2 linked regions of the Cricetulus griseus genome follow. The protein of the gene in region 1 purifies or fractionates together with the protein of each later gene. This does not show direct contact. Links are inferred from orthologs where the notes say so. Each region holds a gene or a part of one and is shown on either strand. Other genes may lie near its edges.

Region 1 (4,358 bases):
ACTCCCCTGGAGCTTCTTTTGTGGCCAAACAGTTCCCAGGATCCAAGAACCTACAAAGTTGGGGCGGGGGAGGGGGTTCTGGAGTTTCTTTGTCTTTAGTTTTGGCACGACGCTCCAGGAGGCCAGAGGATCTAGAGTTTCTTTGTGTTAGAGGCCTACCTGTCTTTTCTGTACCCGGTCATGGCTGCTAAAGCAGGGAGCTGAGTGAGGGTCTGGTCCCTTTATTTTTAAATTATTAGAAGCCTTTTAGTTTAGTTTACCCCTTTCAGTTTTAAATAGTGGCTTAATTTATACAGGAAGGATGGCACATGCCTTCACCTTTAATTTCAGGGGCAAAGGCAGGGGGATCTCTATGAGTTCCAGGCCGTCAGTCTACATAGTGAATTCCAAGGCAGCCAGAGTCATGTAAAGAGACACTACATCCAAGGGGGAAAAAAAAAAAGGAAAATACATAAGCTGGACAATGGTGATGTATGCCTTTACTCCTAGTACTCAAGAGGCAGAAGCAGGAGGATCTTTCCGAGTGATCCTCTGCTGAGGCCAACCTGAACTACAGAAAGAGTTCCAGGACAGCCAAAGACACATAGAGAAACTTTCCCTCAAAACCAAAAACCAAAACAAGTAAGTAGTTGCAACAGTTTTCAACTAGTTTATCAACAATCCAAAATTCACCTGAGTGCAATACTAACATCATCTACTTGGTTGACTGAAGTTGCTGTGGCAATCTGATTGGAATTTGTTAATGTTTCACAGTTAAAGACAGCAAGTTGAGAGGTTGACGATTTAGCTCAACTGGCAGAATGATTGCTTAACCCTTGGTGCAATCCCAAACACAACCCGTAACTCGGGCATGCTGGCCCACACCTATAATCCCAACACTGCGGATGTAAAAGAGCAACATCAGGAGGGTGGAGATCATGACCAAGCAAATTCAAGGCTACACTCTGCTAGTGGTGAGACCCTAAAAAACCAACCAAACCAAAGCTGGGGTGCTGTAACTGCAGCACTCACTCTGGAGATCTCCGCAAGTTTCAGGCCAGCTAAAGTTACACATTGAGATTCTGTCTCACAACAAAATGAAAAACAGAGCTGGGTGGTAGTGCTAAGTGCCTTTCATTCCAAGCACTCAGGGGACAGAGACAGGCAGATCTCTGTGAGTTCGAAGCCAGCCTGATCTTACTGTTACACAGACAAACCCTATCTTAAAACAGCCCCCACCACACCCCCACGTTGGGGGGGAAAAAAAAGAAACCAAACCAAAGAAAGAAAGGGAAAAAAAAGAAAACATCAACTCTACTATCTTCACTTCCTGGTCATCTTAAGAAAGAAGGAGGAAGACAAAGGAATTCAAACCTTTAACCTCCATACTGCTGACCGTGTACCAGCTGCCTCACACTCGGATGAAAAGTGTATGCTGCAACTCTGCACTGTAAACCCTGAGGAAGGCAGGGCTGTGATGACACACCTTTAGTCCCAGCCCTAGGGAGGCAGAGGTGGGCGGATCTATGGTGAGTTCGAGGCCAGCCTGATCTACAGAGCTACACAGAGAAAGCCTGTCTCAAAAAAACAAAAACAACAACAACAACAACAAAAACCCAAGGAAGCGTTAGGCCCTACATGGCTGAACTCTGCTATGAACAATCACCCTAACAAGCATGCAAACGGACGGTACTTTTGCTCCCATGAATCCTTACCTGGATGCATCATCAAGGAGCTGGTCAACATAAGCCACCTCAGACTCCTTCTGCAGCACCCACGTCTCCAACTCTGCTAGCTGCTTCTTGCGCTGCTGTATACAGTCCATCTTTTCCAGCTCTTCATCAATGAACTGGCGAAGTTCCTCCATAGAGATACCCAGCTCTTCAACCACTGCCTGCTGCAGCTCAGTCATGTCTTCAGAGTCAGGGGCAGCTGTTGCTGCATCCAAACTAACGCACCCAGGGAGGGAGGACATGCTTTTGCCCTGTGCAGAACAAGGAACCACGATGACTCTGACATCAAAAAGCCGGCAATTTCAGCCTCACCATAAAACGCACTCCTATCCTGCAAGCTCTTGTTCACAGTCTGTTCTCTCTCCTCCTTCACCAGAATGCGACCCGGAGATTTTTCTGGGGAAGCTCACCTTCTCACACAGACCCACGGGCCTAAGGAAGAGCTTGGAGGGCTTGCAGAACACCGGTCTGCAGTAGAGAGCTGCCCAAAACAATGATTCGCAAAACTGAAGCGTGCTTGTCTACAAAGGAAGGTATTTCTGTGAGCTAACGTGCTCCCTGTTTATCAAGGAGACGAATCCGTCTCTGCGCTGTGTCTAAGCTGAAGTACCACGTCCACCTGGACACAGCTGGGCCGTAACTAACTACTTCCATCTTGGGTTTTGACACCTTTTCTCCCGTTACGTTACTTTGCTTCCCCGTGGGAAGTAACTCCTACGACCAGGCAGGGGGTTGCTGCACAGGGGAAGGGGTCCTCGGCTGCACCCGGCCCGGAGTCTGCGTCCAGCAGGAGGGAAGGAAAGGAGGAAACACGAGGTCTTTGCTACCTGCACAGAGCACAGCTTGCAGCAGAGGCCACACAACCTCTACACTCGAATCACGCGCTCGGGGCTCGGCCACCAAGGGAAGGAGCGCAGCGGCTCCCGGGCCTCCCGGGCGCCCGGCCTCACGCCCACCCGCTGCCGCCCCGCCTCCGCCCCCGCCGCGGCCTCGGCCCCGCCGCCCCGCTCGGCCCCGCCCCCGCCCGGCTCCGCTCTCCGCCAGGTGTCTACACACAGCTGCCGCCTCCCACGAGAAAACCACGGGGTCCCCGCCTCAGCCTACCTCAGCCAGCCCTCCTCACCACTGCGGCTCCCAACCACGAGGACCCCAGATTCCGACTCCAGGGCTCGGCCTCGCCCACAAACACAGAAACCCACGAGAGAGCGAGAGAGCGGGGGTGGGGAAGGCGCGTGAGGGATCAAGAGGGAAAAGCAAAAGGCCCGGAAGCAAAATCGAGCGTCCTTCCGGCCCGCTCAACGGTAGCCCGAAAGGGTCAAATTTACTCCCCAGCGCGGCGGGATAAGGACTGTGGGAACCTAAGAAGTTTACGCATGCGTCAAGTAGCGCATTTCCGGAAAAGAAACTGTTTGGGCAACGCCGGCTGGCTCAGGAATGTTTTACGGAAGCTCCTCCCCAACTAGCGGCCGAAAATAGTTTTGAAAATATTTTTTAGTCATAAAGCTGTCATTTTTAGCAAAGTTAATGCGTGTTCATTTCAGGAAGTATGAAAAATACAAATAGACAAAAAATCAAAATTCCACCACTGAGATTTGCGCGGTCTTTGGTCCTTTACGACTTTAACGTTTATGTGTGTGATATACAAATGGACTCTTGTCGGGGGCGCACGCTTTCAATCCCAGCACTCGGAAGGCAGAGGCAGGCGGATCTCTGTGAGTTCGAGGCCAGCCTGGTCTCCAGAGCGAGTGCCAGGACAGCCTCCAAAGGTCTCGAAAAAACATAAACAAAAAAGCCAATGGGACTCTTGTTTTATTTTTCTCGTTTTAAATTTTATTTTGTGTGTTAATTATTTTGTCTGCATGTATTTTTCTCATTGTCCTTATGCGTGTTTCATCTGCTTCTCTCGACATAGTGTCATTGCTGAAATGTCTGTGTGTCCTCTTTAAGTTCCTGAAGATATTGAATCAGCCTTTCCTTAAAAGTTGCTTTTGTCTCTTTTGATTTTTTTTTTTCTCCTCTTGTGGTACCTCCTCTGGTTTTACTCAGAGCTTTGGCTCTATCTCAGGGTTTGGTTCAAATATCTCCAGATTTCTACCCCCCACCCCCACCCCCATTTTTGGTGGGGTTTCATCTTGTGTTTCGCTTGCTTTGTTTCTCGATTCTTTCTGCCTATTCATCTTTGAATGCAAGCACTTCCAGCACAGATCTGACCAGGAAACCCCACCCCCTTTTAGGCCCAGGGAATGGTAAGAACAGTTGTATAGATAAACTGCCAAATTCATATAAACTGTTCTCTCCTTCCACTGCCCTCACATAGCCCTGCTTGGAAGGCCAAAGGAAGCTGATATGCAGATAGAAACAAGAGCTTAGTGGTAGTGGTTTTTTACATAGGGTCTTAGTATGTAATCTTGTTTGGCCTGGAACTTGCTATGAGGACAAGACAAAAATCTACCTACTTCCGTTTTTTTTCTCAGCCACCATGACCTTTGAGATATCTATATAAAATTTATTTATCTGGAAACGGTTTTACCCAAATTCTGAACCTCCAAATCACCAAGAGACCTATTCCAACGCATAGCAAAGAGTCTTTTATTATTTAATGAGTTAACTGTATTAACATGGGTCTTCCATCCCTCCACCATGGCG
Region 2 (4,282 bases), on another chromosome or scaffold:
ACACATGACAAGGCATGTGACATTTGAGAATAAACTGAAGAAATGAAATGAGCCAGTTTCAGAAAAAGGTAACCAAAAGGGGATTCATATTGAAATGTCGACTTGAATCAATGAACTTTTGAGACTTACACTAAATCTATTTTTAAGTAGCCTATGAAAAGGGGTAAGCGATAGGGAGGAGAAAGAAGAATGGACAATATAAATGGCCTCAAGAATTCAGTTTCCAAGCCAGGCAGTGGTGGTGCATGCCTTCAGTCCCAGCACTTGGGAGGCTCTGTAAGTGCAAGGCTAGCCTGGTCTACAAAGCAAGTTCCAGGAAAGTCAGGACTACACACAGAGGGCCACAGCTACAGACAGAGAAACCCTGTCTCAAAAAGCCAAAAATTAATAATAATAATAGTAGTAGTACTAGTAATAAATAAGTAATTCATCACAGAAATTTTAAAGCTGCAACCAACACAAAATTATCCAAGATCTAGTCTATGCTTATAGAAATGGAAAACAGCAATGTAAAGTTAGCAATGATAGCCTAAGTAACCAGAGTTTAGATTTCCCCATGCATAACTGGTAAGTATGAGTGTAAACTCTACACTCAGCAACAAAAGGCAAAAAACGTGAATGCCAACATAAACTGTTCACTAATGTCAACCTAATCCATTTTCCTCCACATTAAAGACCAAGTGGCTATCTTCAGATCTACATATTTAAATCCCATAATCCCCTTCCATTCTTCCACCAAGACACTGAACTACTCAGACATGAAAAGGAGTGACTGAGGCTGGAGTAGTTCCCTCTCCTGTCATGCTACTGAGCAGAAAGGAAAGCAGACTTGCTCACACGTTCACACAAAGCAAGTTTTCCTGTTTCTGTTTTTGAGGCAAATGAACATTTCCAGGTGATTATATGAATTATCATTCAAATTATGATGAGTCATCATTTTACTTGTGATTAAATTACAAAAAATTTATATTAAACTTGTATGTATATATCTATGTATATAGATACACACACTTTATATATATATATAAAACCAAGAGCAAGTATAAATTTATGTTTATGACAAGGTAGCAATTTTCAACTATTAAGTAGCAGATCTAATATTTTAGTCTACATCTTTAAGAAAACAAAAAAAGAAAGAAAAAAGTAGATGCATTCAAGGATAAATTTCAAACAGAATTCCATAGTGCATTAGAGGCTAAGTGAACTAGATCTGCACAATAATATAAACTTCTAAACGTCATATGTGCTCTCATTTCGAAGTTTTGTTATAATACCTCATTTATTAAATACAATTATAACAAGTAAATTTTATAAATCCATACTATAAAATAAGTACAAAATAAAATTTCATGTGTAAGCTTTTAATATGTTGGATATGTTGGGGCCTTCCCTAAGAATTTAAGAATTTGCAAAAATCTAATTATTTGCTGTTTTAAAAGTTGCTTTTAGAACCAGACTTGGTAGTACTTGCCTATAATTCTGGGAGGCTGAAGCAAGAGGATTGCAAAGTCAAGGCCAGATCTGTTTTTAAAAAAGTAAAAACAGAGAAGGAGGGGTAAAAAGAGTAAAACCTTACAAAAATGGAAAATAAAAGCTCTATACAGAATGTTCAGAACTGTTCTCTATTGTATTAGTCAAGAATATGTTTAAAATATTCTATTGACACAATTACAGGAGTATAATGTACCATTCAGAAAACAATTCAGTAATTACTATAACTGAAGCACCGCTTAAAATGTAACTGTTCTCCCCAAATTATGTGATTAAATTCCATTCCCTCTTTTGGGAATCCATGGCAGCATGTATGCATGTGATCCCAGTCCTGGAGAGACAGAGGCTGGAGGTAAGGGGCCCAAGGCAACCTAGGCTACTCAGCAAACTAGAGCCAACACTGGACCACACTGAGATCATGTCTAAAGAAAGAAAAAGGAAGGAAGAAAAATTTATTCTCCCAACTTGCTAGGTAACCATGAAACTGTATACTCTACTAGTTCAGCAAATATTTCTGTTTTACAATGCTAAAAAACCTTTAAATTTATAATCCCTTTGAATGTTAAGTTTTAAATATACATAATAATGTCACTTAGTTAATTAAAACAGTATTTATTCCAGCTCTCTAGTTATCAGTCTACATTAGATTTTAAAAATAAAAAGGTCTGAGGTCTATATGTAAAATTATTCTAAAATTTAAAATCTGGATTCAAATGTCAATTCAAACAAAAAATAAAGAAAAAGTGAGATATTATAAATATATATTAATTATAAAATAAAAAGCAGTACATGAGAAAGCACTGAAGCATATAATAAAAAATAAAAAAGACACTATTTTTCTGATTTATATAGCAAATTAGTACTTTTTACAAAGCTACCAAATAATAACTCATTTTAAAAAGCAGAAACTCCTCTTTCCAAAGAAGGCTAATTTATAATTTCTTTTAAAAAATGCTCAATTAATACATTGTTTGAATTTCTACAAATATCTAATGAATTAACTATCCAATACACAAGGAGTAATAAGTCACTCGAGTTTGAAAAGCACTACTGTGGTGATCAAATGTTCTGGCAATGACAACAAAATGGTGAGAAATCACAGGAATTTAACCTTTGACCTCACCATCCTAATATACTGTTTCTCTAATATAGGTTTACTGCTCTTAGAAAACGTTGCAACTTCTTCACAGGCAAATTCTCTTTCCTATACAAAGCTGGTTATGTTCAAATGTTTTCTAATTGTAATGTTTAAAGATAAAAGCTTACTGGTTCTTACCTCAGATCCTGATGCATGTGACAAGTCTCTTCACTGGCAGATCTGCTGCCTAAGCAGCCTCAGAGATTGGGTTAGCAGCCATTTTGAGACAGCTGCACAGTCTCAGTTGCACAAAAGTGTAATTAAGATGGCTGCAACGTGCACTCAAGAACTCACACAGTGAAAACTCAGCCATGTATCAAAGAAAGCCCCGCCCACTTTGTCAGCCTGCAGGAAACTGAACACAGATAGCTAATGCATATACTGCAACAAACAATGCAGCTACTTAGCACACAGAAAAAGAAAACGGAAGGCAACAAGCCAGTTTTACAACAAAATGCCTGTGAATCCGGACTTGCAACAGACTTTGGGCACATTCCGATCCCAAACAACTTGAAATCCATGCCACATTTTAGCAGTTACAGAGATAGAGCCAGATCACACAGAGCAAACACTAGGGAATTCGCCTGAAAGAAAGCCTCCATTTCAGTCCAGAAAAAAAGGGGAGGAAAAAAGTCAAACCCCTCAAACCCAGCTCAAGACCCTTTTTTTTTTTTTTTACTTTTTCTTCTTTACCTTTAATAGAATACATCCATCAAAAGAAGAGTGTCAAATTTGTTTAAATCTTATATTCATTAGATCAAGTTAATTTTAATCTTAAAAAGCTAATTAAAAATTTCCCCACAGAATCTAATCTTCAGAAGTGCTCAATCCAAGTTTACAACCACATTTTCTAATTTTAACAATAAAGTCTAAGGTGGCAACAAAGCTTAATTTAGTAATTTCTCATAAAATCAAACATTTCTTCTCTTTGTGGTCCAGATGTGACAGACACACTCTCAGGTGGCACAGGAAAAAGTCAGGGAGGATGCAGACTCTCTGGGAAGGAAAAGTAGGGAGGACAAAAGGGTCCAGGCCAGTCTGGAAGAGGGACCGACACTTAGCCAAATCTGAGAACACTGCCAGCAAAACAGGCCTGGCACAGACACAGGCGGGCGGGCGCAGAACAGGCGAAAGGGAGGCAACACAAAGGACCTCTTCTGCTTCCTTTGCCATCAGCTATGGAGCCCAGTTTCTTCCATCTTCTTTGGTATTCAGTCCTCAAGTTTAATTACCCTGTGTCATGTCTATCGAAATGTTGGCATTTCTTACAACTTTTTAAAAGAGGTGGCAAAAACCAACTAAAAGACGATCATTGTCTCATTTTATGTACATATTTGAAACATTCCATAAAATGTGTCTAATACTTGGCCTTGAAAGAGGCCTTTATTCACTTTTCCATGAGATGGACTGGATAATATCTTTGAAAACTGCCATATGTGCAGGAAACAAGACACATGACACGTGATCCAAGCCGTATCGGATCACAGTCTGGGGACCAGGCTTGGGCCTTGAGCATGCTAAGGAAGCCTCCCGCCACACCGCTCCTGCATAAAACAACCCCCGTTGTTTTATCAGGGTTTCATCATTGTAACGAAACCCTGAGTTCTCTGTATACTCAAGCTGCCCTCAAACTTGGAACCCTCCTGCATCCAC

What was found.
Region 2: the proteins of Setdb1 (region 1) and Atf7ip purify together in Homo sapiens (affinity purification with mass spectrometry; 6 studies listed by BioGRID and IntAct, counting the BioPlex papers as one, with this or other methods). This does not show direct contact. The link is inferred for Cricetulus griseus from reciprocal best matches to the Homo sapiens genes SETDB1 and ATF7IP.

Annotation. Positions count from the first base shown.
Region 1 is NW_023276806.1:61,136,882-61,141,239, reverse strand, and holds the start of Setdb1 (histone-lysine N-methyltransferase SETDB1), read right to left. Parts: upstream 2,982-4,358; 5' UTR 2,817-2,981; intron 2,665-2,816; exon of another isoform or gene 2,540-2,664; intron 2,234-2,539; 5' UTR 2,123-2,233; intron 1,964-2,122; 5' UTR 1,955-1,963; coding exon 1,695-1,954; intron 1-1,694. UniProt on the Homo sapiens protein: Histone methyltransferase that specifically trimethylates 'Lys-9' of histone H3. H3 'Lys-9' trimethylation represents a specific tag for epigenetic transcriptional repression by recruiting HP1 (CBX1, CBX3 and/or CBX5) proteins to methylated histones.
Region 2 is NC_048601.1:12,458,501-12,462,782, forward strand, and holds the start of Atf7ip (activating transcription factor 7-interacting protein 1), read right to left. Parts: upstream 3,073-4,282; 5' UTR 2,785-3,072; coding exon 2,768-2,784; intron 1-2,767. UniProt on the Homo sapiens protein: Recruiter that couples transcriptional factors to general transcription apparatus and thereby modulates transcription regulation and chromatin formation. Can both act as an activator or a repressor depending on the context.